2 linked regions of the Elephas maximus indicus genome follow. The protein of the gene in region 1 interacts with the protein of each later gene in a biochemical or structural test. Links are inferred from orthologs where the notes say so. Each region holds a gene or a part of one and is shown on either strand. Other genes may lie near its edges. The genes, in order: GABBR2 and KCTD12.

Region 1 (8,053 bases):
GAAGGCAAGAATTTAAACCACACGGTTCTGGGTAGACATTCATGTTTTATTGTGTTCTAGGGGGACAGCCCTGAGCATTTGCTTTTTAAGTCTCCACTATGTCTCTTGTAAGGTAGGTAAGCTCTTGGGAATCAAGTGTTTACCACAGTCCTGGGACTTGGTATCTGCCAATACACTGTATTTCCATTAATAAGAAGACAGATTATTAATCTAGCCCATTCTCACCATCTCCACTGCATACGCCTTGGTTCTTCCCACCATCCGTGGCTGATTATAATAGCCTCCTAACTGGTCTCCTGCTCCTGCCCTTTCCTCCTACCAACGGTTCTCCACCCAGTGATCCTGTTAAAAAATATCAGATCGTGTCGTGGCTCTGCTCGTAACCCTCCAATCATTCCCCATTTTGTGGCATACAATCCAAAGACCTCCCAGTGCTGAGGCCCTATATGATTGGGTCCGCCTTTGACCTGGGGTCCTACTACTTTTCCCCTGAACAACTCAAACATAACACAATCATGAAGATGGCGCAGGACCAGGCAACATTTCTTTCTGTTACACACGAGGTCGCCATGAGTTGGAGCCAACTAGACAGCAACTACCAGCCACAGTTCTTCCCCTTGCTCACTCTGCTTCAGCCACACCAGCTTCCTGATGGTTCCTTGAACACACCAGGCACACTCCGGTCTCTGCCCTTGCTGTTCCTCTGCAGGGGACACTGCATGTCTAGCGTACTGACTTCCGTTAGGGTTTTGTTCAAAAGCCACCTCAGTGTGTCCTTCCCTGACCTCCCTATTGCAAAACGCAGCCCCACCCTGCCAGCCTCTAAATTCTTCCCTGGTTTATTGTTCACCCAGCACTTTTCCTAAACTGACAAACTAAAAATTTTACTTATTATTCTTTTTATTTATTGTTTCTCTTCTCCCACTGGAATGTCAGTTCTACCAGGGCAAGGATGTGGGTCTGGTTTGTTCACTCCTGTGCCCCAACTCTGAGAACAGTGCTCAGCATGTAGGAGGCCCTTGAAAACATCAGTTGGAGGAATGATTATTAGAAGGCATGAAGCTGGACTCAAGCTCTAGAGGAGCATGGATTCTAGGCCGATGACAGAGGCAAGAACTCACACCTAGGGAGCACACCAGGAACTCAGTTACCAACACTGGAATGCAAGGTAGGATCCTGGAACCAGAGGGATGCCTGGGCACCAGAAGTGGGGTGTGAGATCAGAGGTTGGCCTGGAGACAGATGGATGGAGATGAGGCATGCTTCAGGTCAGGGCTGGTCCAGGCCACATGGCTCGGGGCCGGGACAACCCATGATGGGACAGAGGGGCTGAAGCTATCAGGCAGAGCCCTCGGCCTCTTTGTAAATGTTAGGCAAAGTTATCCCAACTTTCAATTCATTCCCAGACGTAGGCATCAGTGGATACTCCATATTGGCACAGCCTATAAGGAAAACACAAATGATTAAGGGAAAAAAAGAAGAAGAAAAAAAAAAAGTGAAAATGCTCACTCAGTAACCTGAGCCGAGGAGTTAAGGAATGGCACGTGGCAGGAGCATATGACTAGGGGATAGCTGTGATGGCAAGTGAGACACCAGGTGAGCGTCTGGGGATTACACTGTCCTTTGGATGGTTTTTTTGGCAGAAATGCTTAGGTGAGTTCTGCTCAAGCAATCCCTCCAGCTTGGGGGCTAGGAAGTGCTAAGTGCAGCCTGCGAGGTGGTATCTGCAGAAACCCAAAGAGTGGAGCTGGGAGAATTTGGCCTGGTTTCCCAGGCACTGTCCAAGGTACTCTCCAGGAGTTGGGCTCAGCCTCTGCTGCTTTTACACTTTCTGATAACTCAGCCTGCGATTCAGGGCTGCCCCTGTCCCACCCCAGGTCTGCCTTGGGTTCTCCCCAGGGGCGAGCCACATGACAGGAAGGTTACAGCAGAGATTCTGTGTTGGGGGGATGGGGAAATAGCCTGCTCAGGTCCTTGAGAAGGGATGCATGCATACCTAGGCTGCAAGCCTGGCTTCCCCACTTGACCTATGTGTCCTTGGGCAATCACATAGCTTCCCTGAGTCTCAATATTCTCATCTGTAAAGTGGGCATAATATTACCTTCTGCATAGGAATGATGTCAAGATTAAGTGAAATTAGGTGAGTAAATGTGTGTATAGCATCTGGCACAATGTCTGGCTTTCAGTGGACCCTAAAAAAAAAAAAAAAAGACTAGCCGTTGTTATTATTTTTTAAAATCAGTAATTACAGTCACTAAAACATTTAACAGTAACAATTCCACAAAGGAGCTCAAAATAGGTTTACAGATAAAGAATGGCAATTCCCCTTGTCTCTGATTAATAAACATTTATAATTACAAAAATATATATTACATAATAATAATTTAGAATTACTTCCTACTTCCCAAAATGGGGGTGCTAAAACAGATATGTGCTCAAAACCCCACTGCAAGTTACCAGGGGAAGTAGGGAGACACATGGGCAGCTCCTCCTGTCTTCCTGAAAGTGAAGCCTCCTCCTTCAGTAATCTACTAAAGCAATGAAGGTAAAGACCTGATTAAATGTGCTCATTAACACTCCAGTGAGCCATGGCGGTGCAATGGTTAAGCGCATAGCTGGTAACCAAAAGGTTGGCTGTTCGAACTCACCCAGCAGCTCTGAGGGGGAAAGACCTGGTGATCTGCTCATGTAAAGACTACAGCCTAGAAAACCCTATGCGGCAGTTGTACTCTGTCACTATGAGTTGGCAGCTAACAACAACACTTCAGTAAAGAAAAGAATAAATGAATGTTATTTGGAAATGCTTGAGTAGTACTGGTAGGACTCATACCATCTTTGTTTTTATTATACACCAAAGGTGTGTTTGGAGGTGCTGTGTCCTTGAGTAAGTGAGGGCTGTTCTAGAATCAGAATCAGAATTGCCGTTCCTCCCATTTTATGGATGGGAAAGTTGAGGCCCAAAGTAGCCAAGCTTGGATTTGAGCTCATGTTATCTGCCTCAAGTGAGAAGTTCTTTCTACTGTATGTAGGTTGCCTCTTGGGCGCCTATGCTCAAAAGATTTCCCCAAAGAGAAGGAACTGCCCTTATGAGTAAGTATGATCCTCACCCCATCCATACCTTCTCTCTCCAAAACTGGCTTCGTCAGGACTGCAAAAGAGCAGAGGTGAGTGAGTCTGTGGACACCATCTGGTCCAACTCCCTCACCACATATCAGAGGGAATGAAGGTGCAGAGCAATGGAGAGTCAAGGCAGTGCCCCTCATCAGGGGAAACTCCATGCACCCCATTGGGGCTCACACTGCACTCTGTATGGTGCAGCTGCTGGCTCTGGGTCCAGTCCTCCCTCAGTAGCTCTGTGTACTTTGGCAAGTTAAGACACCTCTCTGAGCTTCACTTTATTCGCCTGTAAACTAAGGGTGATAAACACAGTGCTTACTTCACAGGGTGGCTGTGAGGACTACATTAGGAGGCCAGTAAAGCACTAAAACCAGTGTTGGCATACAGTAAGTGCTCAGTGAAGGTTAAATTCCTACCATTACAAGGTCACGGATATGGCCCACAATGCTTGCCTCAGGCTCCAGGATGTTTTCTGATTTAATGTCCTCGTGTGTCCCCCTCAATAATCATCCCTTGGGATTTTATATTTTAATGACCACGACTGCCATTCTCCAAGTACTGAAAGGCACAAAGACACACATCTGGTCAGGATTGCTCTGACTACAGTTAGCCAGGGCATTCAGTGTGACCTGGCAGAAAGAGTGCCAAGGCCGGGGGCTCTCGGACCCCGCTCTAGCCTGAGGACAATGCTTCCACCCGAGGGAGAATTCTAGGGCGGGGTTCTGTGAGAGTGGGTACCAGGGAAGGTCATATGCCTGGAGGGGGCGGTAGCGCACACAGGTGCGGACCTCCGCCTCGCCCGGGTTGGCAGAGAGAGGCTGCTCTGTCCAGTGGGGGTCCCAGCCAGGCCCCAAAGGCCCGCCAGCCTAGCGCTGTGCGGCGTTCGAACGCTGGCGGCGGTCTTCGGCGGCCGTTCATATGAGCTCAGTCCGGGCGCCCGTGCAGGGAAGGAGAGCGTAGGTTGCAGGTATTTCTAGGACGCCTCCGTGGCGTACTCTCCAGCCCAGACCTTTCCGGCTAGACCTCTGAGAACCAGCCCCAAACCACCTTGCAGGTGCCACAGGAAGAGCTCGGTGAAGCGGTGGCAGCCACTGCGTGTGCCACAGCGCGGTTCTCGTCCCGGCTCTCCGTCCCCGGGCACTCAGGTTCCTGGCGGTCGGTGGGCAGCGGCAGCCAGCGCAGCTGAGGGCCGGGGCGCTAGTGTGCGTGTGCGGGGAAGGCGGCCCTCCCCGCGGTCGCCGCAGAGCCAGCGCCGGCGCCTCCCCCTCCCCTGGCGCGCACGGCCCATCCCTGTCCCCCGAGGCGGCCCGAGCCGCCGCTGAGCAGCCGCGCCTTCGCCTCCCGCGTTTCCTGCCGCTCGCCCTCCCCCGGCCGGGCTCCAGGGGCGGCCGCCGAGCAGCTCCGGGCGGGAGAGCAGCGCAGAGCGCGCACGGGGGCGGGCGGAGGCGGCCCGGTGCGGGGCGGCCGCGCCGGAGAGAGGCGCGCGGAGACGCCGGCCCCCCTTTCCGCGTTTGCTCGTTCGCTCCCCGCCTCCCGCACTCCGCTCGCTCCCACCCCTTCCCGGCGTGATTGATCCGTCACCGGCGCTGCTGCCGCCGCCGCCGCCGCCGCTGCCGCGGCCGTTCTGAGCCGAGCGGGAGCCCGAGCCAGAGCCCGGGCCGGGCCGGCGCCATTGCGCGGGCGCCGCGGGGAGAGCTTGGCGCGGGGCGGCGGGCCAGGGCAGGCCATGCGGGCCGAGTGAGCTGGCGTCCGCAGCCCGCGGCGCGGCATGGCTTCTCCGAGGAGCTCCGGGCAGCCCGGGCCGCCGCCGTCGCCGCCACCGCCGCCCGCACGCCTCCTGCTGCTCCTGCTGTTGCCCTTGCTGCTGCCTCTGGCACCTGGGGCCTGGGGCTGGGCGCGGGGCGCCCCCCGGCCGCCGCCCAGCAGCCCGCCGCTCTCCATCATGGGCCTCATGCCGCTCACCAAGGAGGTGGCCAAGGGCAGCATCGGGCGCGGCGTGCTCCCTGCCGTGGAACTGGCCATCGAGCAGATCCGCAATGAGTCGCTCCTGCGCCCCTACTTTCTCGACCTGCGTCTCTACGACACGGAGGTGAGTGTCCGGCCGTCCGCGCCGTCGGGGATCCGGAGGACAGTGGAATGGGGTGTGGGGTGGGGACAGAGTCAGGCGCCCGGCCCTTGACCAAAGCCCGGATTGACCCGCGGCTGCTGAGGACACGACGGGCTGGTGCTCAGTGCTCGTCCCGCCGGGGTCCTCCTGGGCCAGGTACCCCTTGGCACAGCTGGTACCAAAGCTTGCCCAATATTCTCCTCAGGGATCGTGTGTGTATGTGTGTGGGGTTGTTGAATAGAAGACTAGAGTCTCCTTTACCGCAGAAGAAGGAGTGGAGTAGGCTGGGGCTGGACCCCCAAAGGCCTGCATTGGTTGCCCCTGCCCAAGTTCCATTCGCTCGTGGGGCTTTGGGGTGGCGGGTGGGAAGAATAGGTGGGTGCACTGACTGCAAACTGGGCCACCCCGGGCTGGAGGGGCCGCGAGCTTGCCCGCGGGCGATTGTGAGAGCCGAGCTGCGCTAAGAGGTCTGGAGAGCTCCCGCACTCCAGGGGCCCGAGCGCGCAGCAGGGCTGGGAGCGTGGTGCGCGCCAGCAGCTCGGAGCCCTTACAGCGCCGGCAGGTGAGGGGCCGCCGGCTCTGCAGTGCTACCCCCTGGATGTGCCCGGCTGCCTGTAGGCCGAGCGGTTTTATGAAGAGACGCCCCCTTGGGTTAGTTGGTCAGGGAGTGTCCCAAGCAGGTCTCGCCCGGAGGCGCGAGGTGTCCCGCCGCGCCGCTGCTGTTGGTCCGGCGGCTGAAGGCGCAGTTTCTCCGGGCGCAGACTTGTGCAGCGTCCTACTAGCTAGAGCACGGACTTGGAGCGCAGCAGTGGCTTCCTCTCCCGGCCTCCTTTTCTAAGCCGAGCTGGAGAGCCGAGAACTTCCCATCCCAAGCCCTCTCCTTACGCCCTTGGCTTGGGTTCCGCCGCAGCCCCAGCGCGGACCTTTACCGCTAGCCAGGGGAATGGGATGCGCTGAGGGGGCTGTGAGGAGCGGTCGCCGGCCGCGCGAGGTCGGGTTTGCGAGTTTTTCCGGACAGGGGGAGCCCCTATGCTTCCAGTACGGGGTCTGAGACGCGGCCTGAAGGGGGCAGTGATTTCCTGTGCAGTACGTTTGGTTGGCGCCTCTTCCACCGCGCCAAGCCGGGCCAAGGCGCTGGGCTTGACCCCAGCTTCCCAGGGCTCTCCGGGCATTAATGCTCAAGCTAAGGGGCAGACCCTTTTGAGGAGGAGGGTCGTGTTACCGCGCTGATCGCGCAGCCCTCCTCTTTTTATGTCTCCGGAGAAAGAGCAGAAATCTGAATTGCATCTTATTCCCCCTCCTCCCCCCTCCACTGATGAACCAGCCTGCTCTGCGCTGTAAATAAAAGGTGAAGGAATGGGTGGCATTTGGTGGCGGGCGTGCAGGCTGCTGCAGGCAGAGAGGTGTCCTCTGCCCTGGGAGAATGCAGGCTGGGTGCTGTGCAGGGCATACCCGGGTGTGGAATCATTTGAGTGACATGCATATTGTCCTCATCTCTACACAACGTTTCATGTTCTCTGGTGTGCTTGTCCTGCAGACGTAAGTGGAGTGAGCAGTGCAGACACAGGGAGGCATGTCTTCTGGGTACTGTTTCTCTGTTGCTTCCACTTGTATTCTTCTGAAAGGGACACTGAAGAGCCAGTTCTTGGGAGACAAAAACATGTAGACGGGGCAGCCCCGCTGGCATCATCACCACATACTGTCAACTGCATACTGTTTTCATCATCAGTTTATTGGGTGTTAGAAAGCTTCCCTGAAAGAGATTTCATATTATGCATCCTGTTTGTGTTAGCAAGGAGATGTATGGTTGGTTTCAGGGTGTGGGTGGAACCTTTTACGTTTTATTTTTCAAGTGTGTCTGGATGACTTTCTGAGTGAGAGGGCCTCAAATCAAGAGGATGAGGCACTCAGAAGGCGCTTCATTCCATCGGGATATGTAAGAAACAGTAGGAAGGAGTGCAGAGGATAATCTCAGCTCCGTGCAAACAGAAAAACGCCTCTAGTCTTCTGAAGGCCAGGAAGGGTCACAGAGCTTGGGCTTTGGCATAGGTGGTACCTGGGTTCTAGTCAGGAACTGGCTACTTTCCCAGTGGGCGACACTGGGCTAGGTGTTTAATCTCCCTAAGCCTATATTTCCGCAGCTGAAAAAATGGGACTATTATATGTACTCTGCCGAGTAGCAACGGGAGGCTTAAGGGAGATAACGGGGGAGAATGGAGAATGGGTTGTGTTGCCAAGCTCAGCAGCCGGTGCCCTGTCTGGCATGCAGTAAGCACTAAATAAATGTGTCCTGCCTCCCTTCCTTCATTTTCTTCTGGCATGGATTCACAAGTAAGACATTGTAGTTTAAGATGTGATAAAATGGTCAAGCCAAAACACGAGGACTATTTATTTGTTTTTCCAGCCTTTGAAATCTTACGAAGTCAGTGAAGTTATCAGAAAAAAAGTGAATTCTTTTACAATTAAGTATGTTGTCTTCTGTCAGGAGGTGTCACATTTAGGAGAATGTCCAGGTGATATAATTATTTAATTTTTTCCCAAGTGGCTTCGCCTTTACGGGAGAGACGCACTCTCTGAGCCGGAAGGAGAGAAGGAGCAGCCTGGGATATTTGCAGCAAGATCCACAGCAATCCAAGGAGTGCTGGGGGCCTGTTTTTTGTTTGTTTTTCAGATCAGGTATCTTTGTGGATGGTGTGTACCACCTAACGACTTGCTGGCTGTGTCACTTGTCCATAGACTTGAACACAGGATGGATGTGGTGAGCAGGTTTTGGCTGGCTTTGCTGACATTTGCTGCCAGTCAATGACCAGTGACTGTTGACAGCCAGAA
Region 2 (8,192 bases), on another chromosome or scaffold:
TCGAACCCACCCAGAGAAGCCTAGTAAGAAAAGCCTGGAGATCTACTTCTGGGGTGGGAGGGAGAAGAATCAGCACTGAATACCCTCTGGAGCACAGCTGTCCTCTGATACACAAGTCGGAATTGACTTGATGGCAATGGGTTAGGTTTTTATTTTGGTTTTGGTGGCGGCAAGGAAGGGGGAAGGGAGCTGGCTGGGAAAGAAGGCAGTAGTTGAGAGAGAAGATATAAATCAAATGAGAATTTGTTCCTGCAGATGTCTCCAGTACTTTAGGACAAAAGGACAGAGTAATTCCAGGAAACCACTGTCTCCTATTTAGGAAGGTACAAAGAGCTACCTGAAAAAGAACAATGGTTCTTCATGCGTCCATCACTGGAAACCGGGTTGAGGCCGGATACAGAGATAGAGGTTTCCCAAATTCTCAGACACCCCCTCCAATGAAGCATATTTGACATATTGGATACGCTAAAGAATTATAACCCCCTCCACCAGGAATACCCAGACCCTCAAGTCCTGGCATCTAAGTGCCCTAAATATTTCTTCTTGAATTTCTTGACACTAATGTATATACAAGAAACAGAACACAGAAAATAAATCAGTAAGTCAGAAGATTACTTCTTCATAATCCATAATTGAACTGCCGCTTTCATTCACTATTATGTCTTTCAGGCACAACTTGGGCTCTCATAAAAAAAATACCGATAGGCTTTCCTGCAGCAGACTAGCTCGTGTGGATGAATATGTTACCTCGACAGGTAGAGGATGTCAGGAGTTCGCTGCTAGTACAATGCTTGTGTATAAGCACGCCGTGTCTGTCACACTTGACTTGTCATGATCTCTTCAAGGGTACTTTGGGGATTCACAGGATACAAGCAGGTGAATACAATAAACTTCTACTGTGAAACACACTAAACTCATTCTTAACCCAGGCCCCCTTAACTTTCTTTGCCCTACCTGGTAGGCTCTTCCTCCAGAGCTTCTCACAGCTGTCTCTTTTTCATCACTCAGCTCAAACATCACTTTTATGGAGAGGCCTCTCCCAGCTACTCCATATCCAGTAGAATCCGCACGCTCAGTCCCTCTACACCTTTTAAGGATTTTATTTTCTTTGCAGCATTTATCATCACTTAAAAGCGACTGCTTATCTATACGTTTACTATCTATCTTCCTCACAAGACTAGAAACTCCAAGAGGTCAGAGATCCTTTTGTTAACATATTGCCTGGAATTCAGGAAAAACCTGTTGCTGTCAAGTCAATTCTGACCCACAGAGACTCTACAGAACAGAGCAGAACTGCCCCACAGGGTTTCCAAGGAGTGGCTAGTGGATTCGAATTGCTGACCCTTTGGCTAGCAACCATACTCTTAACCACTGCATGTGGGCCCTTAAGACATACTGGAGGAACCAAAAAAAAAAAAAGAAAGAAAAACCCAAAACCAAGCCCATTGACATCAAGTGGGGAAAATAATAGAACCTACCTCATATAAATATTAAAAGCCTTCATATATGTCAAGCACTTATATAGGTGAGATTCTGACTCATGGTGATCTCATATGTTACAGAGTAGAACTGCTCTGTAGGGTTTCCTTGTCTGTAATCTTTATGAAAGCAAATCACCAAGCCTTTCTTCCACAGTGCAGCTGGGTGGGTTTGAACCACCAACCTTTAGGTTAGTAGTTGAGCACAAACCATTTGGGACCTACTGGCAGAATAAAACCCAAAACCCGAACCCACTGCCATTGAGGTAATTCAGACTCATAGCAACCCTACAGGTTTCCAAGGCTGTAAATCTCTATGGAAGCAGCTACATCTTTCTTCCACAGAGCCTTTGGTGGTTTCGAACCTCCGACCTTTTGGTCAGCAGCTAATCGCTTTAACCACAGCACCACCAGGGCTCCCTATTAGTAGAACAGCAGATATTAATTGAACACCTATTATATGACAGCTCTCTTCTAGGCACTGGGGATACAGCAGGGAATTAAGCTGGCAAAAATCTCTGAACTCTTGGAATTTATATCCTAATGCACAGAAATAGACAGTAAATGAGCAAGTAAAATCTCCAGTATGGAAGCAGGAAAGGGGAGAAAGCTGCCTGGGTGGGGTTACACTATATTAAACAGGGTGACCCAAGCAAGGTCTCACAGTAGAGACCTGAAGAAGGGGAGAAGAGAGGCACCTGAACAAGGTGAGGGAGGTATCAGGGGATGAGTGTTTTAGGCAAAGGGAACAGTAAGTTCAAAGGCTCCTAGAGAACAGTTGTTGTTAGTTGACATTGAGTCAATTCTGATTCATGGTGACCCCATGTGTGCAGAGTAGAACTGCTCCATAAGGTTTTCAAGGCTGTGACCTTTCGGAACTAGATTGCTGGGCCTGTCTTCCAAGGCACATCTGAGTGGGTTCGAACTGCCAGGCTTTCAGCTAGTACTACAGCACTTAACCATTCGCATCACCCAGGGATTCCTCTGGAGGACAGTAAGGGGGCTAATGTAGCTAAAACCAGTGAAATCCTGGGGAAATGGTAGGGGATGGGTCGGAGAGGTGGTCATGGGGCAGCTCTGATCATGTACAGTCTTGTAGGCCACTGAAAAGACTCTGATTTTCAAACACTTGCATGAGATGGGAAGCCACTGGGGCGGGGGTTCCAGAAGAGTGACATCATCTGAGTTAGGCTGTAATGGCATCCCCCTTTTTTGTTCTGGTGAAACTAGACTGTAGCAGCAAAGGCAGAGCCAGATAGGAGACCAGTGTAATAATTCAGGCAAGAGATGATGTTGTCTTGGTCCACGGTGGAACCTACTGGGACTGTTCAGACCTATTAGTAGAACAGTAGGGAGTTAGAGAGATAGGCTAAGAGTCTGGAAGTGTTTTTAAGGCACAGCTGACAGGATTTGCTGAGACAATGAAAAAAAGCAATAATACAAAAATATGTGCAGAATTGATACAAAGAAGGCTCTTCTTGGATTTATAGAAAAGAGGCTGTATTTGTCAGGCCTGTGACACTGGTAGAAAAAAGAGAAGCACAGCCACCTAGAAATTCAGCATGGGAACTTGAAACTTTTGTGTCATCTTTTATCCCAAAGAACAAAACAAAAAAGTGTGGTGAAATATATTTGGTATCAAAACCCATACTTGCAATTAAACGAGCTGATTGGGGGCTTGATTTAATTTCAGTACACTCACTGACATGACTGCAATAATTGTACAGCAGACATAAACAATTCCAAGTGAAAATGACACTTATCCGTGAGGAGACTGTAAAACTCACTGGGTAGTTGCAAAATAGGGTAAACGTTATCAAGAACAAATATCTCAACAGTTTTATCCGGACTGACAGTCTACTGATCTGAAAACTGCTCAGACCTCTGCCCCTTTGCCTACTGGGCACATTGAAAGTGTCTTGGGGCTTATTCAACCTTGCATTCTTCACTACCTGGTGCCACGCCTGGCCAATATGCCAGGTGCACAACAAATTTTCATGGACCAGATGACTTCTTAACATCTTCCACTACCCTCTCCTTTGCTTCTGTCTGCAGTTCTCCGGAACACTGATTTTTACCAAAGTCAGCAGATAATCGCTCTTTAGTTATCTAGTGCTGCGGTAACACCAGTGCATGGCTTTGATGAATAGGAATTTATCTTCTCACAGTTCAGGAAGCTCAAAGTCCAATTTCAGGCCGCTGGCTCTCAAGGAAGGCTCTCACACTGTCTGCTCTGAGGGAAGGTCCTCGTCTCTTTTCAGTTTCTATTCCTAGGTTCCTTGGCAATCGCACGTGCTTCTTTGCTTGCTTAACTTGCATTTTATATCAGGAGAGATTGATTTAAGATACACACTACACTAATACTGCCTCATTAACATAACAAACATTCCCAAAGGGAAAAACCCCTGGTATTAAAAAAAAAACAGCCCCAAACCGCATTGCCCGTGGAGTTGATTCTGACTTATAAGGATCCTATAGGACAGAGCAGAACTGCCCCATAGGGTTTCCCAGGTGTGGCTGATGGATTTGAAGTGCCGACCAGGGTTTCAACCACAGGTATAGGGGATTGGATTTATTTACAGCACCCATTTCTCGGAGGGGGGGGGCATAGCTCAATCTACAACAACTGCTAATTACGACAGTTCAGAATGATGAGCTCTAGGTAATGCGGAAGACCCACTCGCCTGGGAAGCCATGGACGGTTTTTCTTTCGGGAGGGGGGGAGGGAAAGAGGAGTTCTGTGGGCTAAAGGGTGAAACTGAATATGGAGTAGGAGTTAGAGGATGAGATGGGATCAAAGCAGAGGGCCTGCAAATGTCAAAAGCCCTGTGAGGAGGGAACCTGGACCTAACTGGAAAAAAAAAATGACTGAAGAGCGCTGGAGGTCGGAGAAACTTGGACGTTCCTGCGAGAGGATAAACACGTCGAAAAAGATCTAGGGGCTTGATTGAAAAAGCTCTAAGGCATGATTCACTCAGGGCTGAAAAGGACCCCTCGGCCTCACTATCCTCAATCTCTTCAGACTAGCCTCCAAGGCTTTGTGAGGAAGAGGATGCATGAGCCGCCCTCAGGGGAACGCGTCCCTAAAGTTCATCCAAGTTCCCCCTGTTGCTATTTCAGTTCTTTTCCTACTCCCCTTTGAGGTTTCCCAACCAGTGAGTTTCTTCTGCACCCGGAAAATGAACTATCCACGAGCGTTCTGCGGCAAGATACCGAGGTTAGCTTTTGGTTTCTAGAGTTTTTCTTCCGAGTCTCCTCAGTAACGCGAACAAAACCTGGCTGCCTCCGTCCTGGCGCGGCCCCGTAGTCTCTCCGGGGCTTTTATTCTCGAGAACTTGCAGCGACACGACGACCCACTACGCTACCAACACGACTCCACTATTTTTAAGCGGCCAGTTCCGCAGGCGGCCTCGCCGGACGCGGCCACGCACTTCCACTCCCCTGGGCCAAGCCCGAAAGTTTACATCCTCTTTTCAGAGTCTACGCGGGCAGTGGGCGCGGGCTAGGGGGACAGGGGGCGCAATGACGGCCCCGCCGGCAAAAGATTTGCCTTCCAAAGCGCCCCATCCCAGGTTTTGTCCGCTTCGGATGAGAAAGTTGGATGGGAGCGGGAAGGGGCTGGAACGCGGAGCGGGGCGGCGGGGACCGGCCGGGTCGCCCCCGCGGTGCGCGAACCCGGGTGGAGCCAGCAGCCGGGCGCAGCGTCAGCGCTTAAGATGCAAATCAATTCCCGCCTCCCTCCTCCCCCTCCCCCGCCCGGGGAGCTAGGCTCCGCCGCTCCGCAGCCGCCTACGCCTCCTGCGCGCCGCGGCGCCCTAGCGGAGGCTCTACTTAAGCGGCGCGCCGGCCGCCACCCGCACTCGCCTGGAGCGTGTGGAGCGCACGGGGGCGCACAGCCGCGCGCTCGTATCGCTCGGCTCCACGCGGCTCTCGGCGGCGGCGGCGGCGGCGGCCGAGGCGCAGGGCTGAGCGAGTGTTCGGGCGCCGGGGCTCCGGGAACGGCGGCTCCAGCTCCTGCGCGTGGCCTCACTCCCTTTCTCTGCCCCAGCCCAGCCACCTCTTTGCCATGGCTCTGGCGGACAGCACGCGTGGATTACCCAACGGGGGCGGCGGCGGGGGCGGTAGCGGCTCTTCGTCCTCCTCGGCAGAGCCGGGGCTCTTCCCCGACATCGTGGAGCTGAACGTGGGGGGCCAGGTGTATGTGACCCGGCGCTGTACGGTGGTTTCGGTGCCCGACTCGCTTCTCTGGCGCATGTTCACGCAGCAGCAGCCGCAGGAGCTGGCCCGGGACAGCAAAGGCCGCTTCTTTCTGGACCGGGACGGCTTCCTCTTCCGCTACATCCTGGATTACCTGCGGGACTTGCAGCTCGTCCTGCCCGACTACTTCCCCGAGCGCAGCCGGCTGCAGCGCGAGGCCGAGTACTTCGAGCTGCCGGAGCTCGTGCGCCGCCTCGGGGCGCCCCAGCAACCCGGTCTGGGGCCGCCGCACCCGCGGCGCGGGATGCCTAAGGAGGGCTCGCTGGGCGACGAGCTGCTGCAGCTCGGCTACGCGGAGCCGGAGCAGCAGGAAGGCTCCTCAGCCGGGGCGCCGTCGCCCACGCTGGAGCTGGCTAGCCGCAGCCCGTCCGGGGGCGCAGCGGGCCCGCTGCTCACACCATCCCAGTCGCTGGACGGCAGCCGGCGCTCAGGCTACATCACCATCGGCTACCGCGGCTCGTATACCATCGGGCGGGACGCGCAGGCAGACGCCAAGTTCCGGCGGGTGGCACGCATCACTGTGTGCGGCAAGACCTCGCTGGCCAAGGAGGTGTTCGGGGACACCCTGAACGAGAGCCGGGACCCAGACCGGCCCCCGGAGCGCTACACCTCGCGCTATTATCTCAAATTTAACTTCCTGGAGCAGGCCTTTGATAAGCTGTCGGAGTCGGGCTTCCACATGGTGGCGTGCAGCTCCACGGGCACCTGCGCCTTCGCCAGCAGCACTGACCAGAGCGAAGACAAGATCTGGACCAGCTACACCGAGTACGTCTTCTGCAGGGAGTGAGCTCCCTAGCTCCCCCCCGCCCCGCGACTCCAGCTCTCGTCCCCCCCCCCCTTCCCTGTCTTAGAGATGGTTATAGCACCTCTTCCCTCCCGTCCCTCTGTCGTTCACCCCCAGGAGCTGGGGCCAGTCCCCTCTACCCTCAATTCTAGAACCTGCAGGCGAAAACCCTCTCGGCTTCTTCATTTTCTTTGGACCCCTCCAACCGAGGGAGCCCAGATATACCCCCTTAACCCATGCTTCCTCCATCCCGTACCCCAAACCACCCCTCCCCCAGACTGCCCCTTAATCTGGATGGAGTGGGGCAGCGTGGCCCCAAATCACCAAGTACCTAGGAATGACTGGATCGTTCAAAATCAGGACGTGTCCAGCGTGAAGAGATTCCCTGAAATCTTCTTGAACCTTATGACTCAAGAGATCGGAATTGATAACACTGGGGAAGTTAGTGTTCTAAAAGGTCATTGGAGCCTTTTTTTGATTCTCTTTAAAGGTAGATATTTAGAAGGTTGAGTGAAAAACTGGGATTCTGGAATTAAGACCATATGGAAGCAGTTCAGTGACTGTAAATGAGTGAAGTTTTGAAAAGTTACAGATAAAAGTAGGAGAAGAATCTAGTGCTGGCACGGTGAAGGATCGGATCTTTTCCAGTACAGAATGAAATGAAAGATCTTCGCTTGTGACTTAAACTTGCAGAAAGGGACCCTCCTGCCTGTGGAGGCGCCCTTTCTCGTTGGCTTATCGCCAGGACTTGGGTCGGCTCTGGTTGACATGACAGTTTTTTGGCAAGAGCGAGAAAGAGCTTTGCTGCAGAAGGGGGCAGGTCTGCCCAGGTCGCCATGCCCCACAGAAAGCCACCTGGCAGTGATTAAAACAGAGCTGGGTAGTCATGCACGTTGTGGGTATTAGGAAAGCCCATATTCTTGCAGTGAATGGCAGTAGGATCATTCTTAGCTCATAAGACTTGGGGGTGGGATTGGGAGGGAAGGAGGAGGGTAGGAAGGGTGGGAAGGGAAGAGCAGACATACTCATTTATTATTTGAAATTTGTAAGTTTGTACCATCCGTTTGGGTACATGTGTTTTATTTTAAAACATCAAATAGGACAAAAACATGCAAAGTGTTTTATAAAAATGAATAACAGTATTTACTCTTAGCTGGCAGTTATTGAGGTAACCGTTTTGAATCCTAAGCTTAGAAGTTACAGATACTTATAACCTAACCAAAGAGTTACCCAGTAGTGTTTTAGTATTTGAACTCTGTTTTCTCTGTGAATATAAATCCTGATTGTAAAATCGATTTACTTGAGCAACATACGTTTGATTTTGGTTACTCAGACTTAAGATCTCTTATTAAAAGTCCTTATTTTCCCTAAACTCAGTATGTTTGACGGCTGAGCAAATCTGAAAACCAGAAAATGCTACTTGACACTCCTCTTTCATGCAGTGGTTTGAAGTTAAGGTGGAATCCTTTTGAGTGCCAGAGCTGTAGAGAATTAAGCAACAAGGGCTGCCCATCTGTAGAGAGCTGTAAAGTGAAATATTTTTCAGTGAAGGCAAATTAAGTACTTAAAAGTGAGCTGAGCAATAAAACAGTGTTTTAGGAAAATACAGCAGTAACCGAAGGAGACCTGGTTGCCTTATGCCTTTAATATAGAATAAATTCCCTCTGCATATC

Evidence for each region.
Region 2: the proteins of GABBR2 (region 1) and KCTD12 form a complex in vitro, tested with the Homo sapiens proteins (2 studies listed by BioGRID). The link is inferred for Elephas maximus indicus from reciprocal best matches to the Homo sapiens genes GABBR2 and KCTD12.

What each region holds. Positions count from the first base shown.
Region 1 is NC_064827.1:48,601,781-48,609,833, reverse strand, and holds the start of GABBR2 (gamma-aminobutyric acid type B receptor subunit 2), read left to right. Parts: upstream 1-4,833; 5' UTR 4,834-4,885; coding exon 4,886-5,206; intron 5,207-8,053. UniProt on the Homo sapiens protein: Component of a heterodimeric G-protein coupled receptor for GABA, formed by GABBR1 and GABBR2. Within the heterodimeric GABA receptor, only GABBR1 seems to bind agonists, while GABBR2 mediates coupling to G proteins.
Region 2 is NC_064832.1:70,016,855-70,025,046, reverse strand, and holds KCTD12 (BTB/POZ domain-containing protein KCTD12), read left to right. Parts: upstream 1-5,300; 5' UTR 5,301-5,544; coding exon 5,545-6,522; 3' UTR 6,523-7,493; downstream 7,494-8,192. UniProt on the Homo sapiens protein: Auxiliary subunit of GABA-B receptors that determine the pharmacology and kinetics of the receptor response. Increases agonist potency and markedly alter the G-protein signaling of the receptors by accelerating onset and promoting desensitization.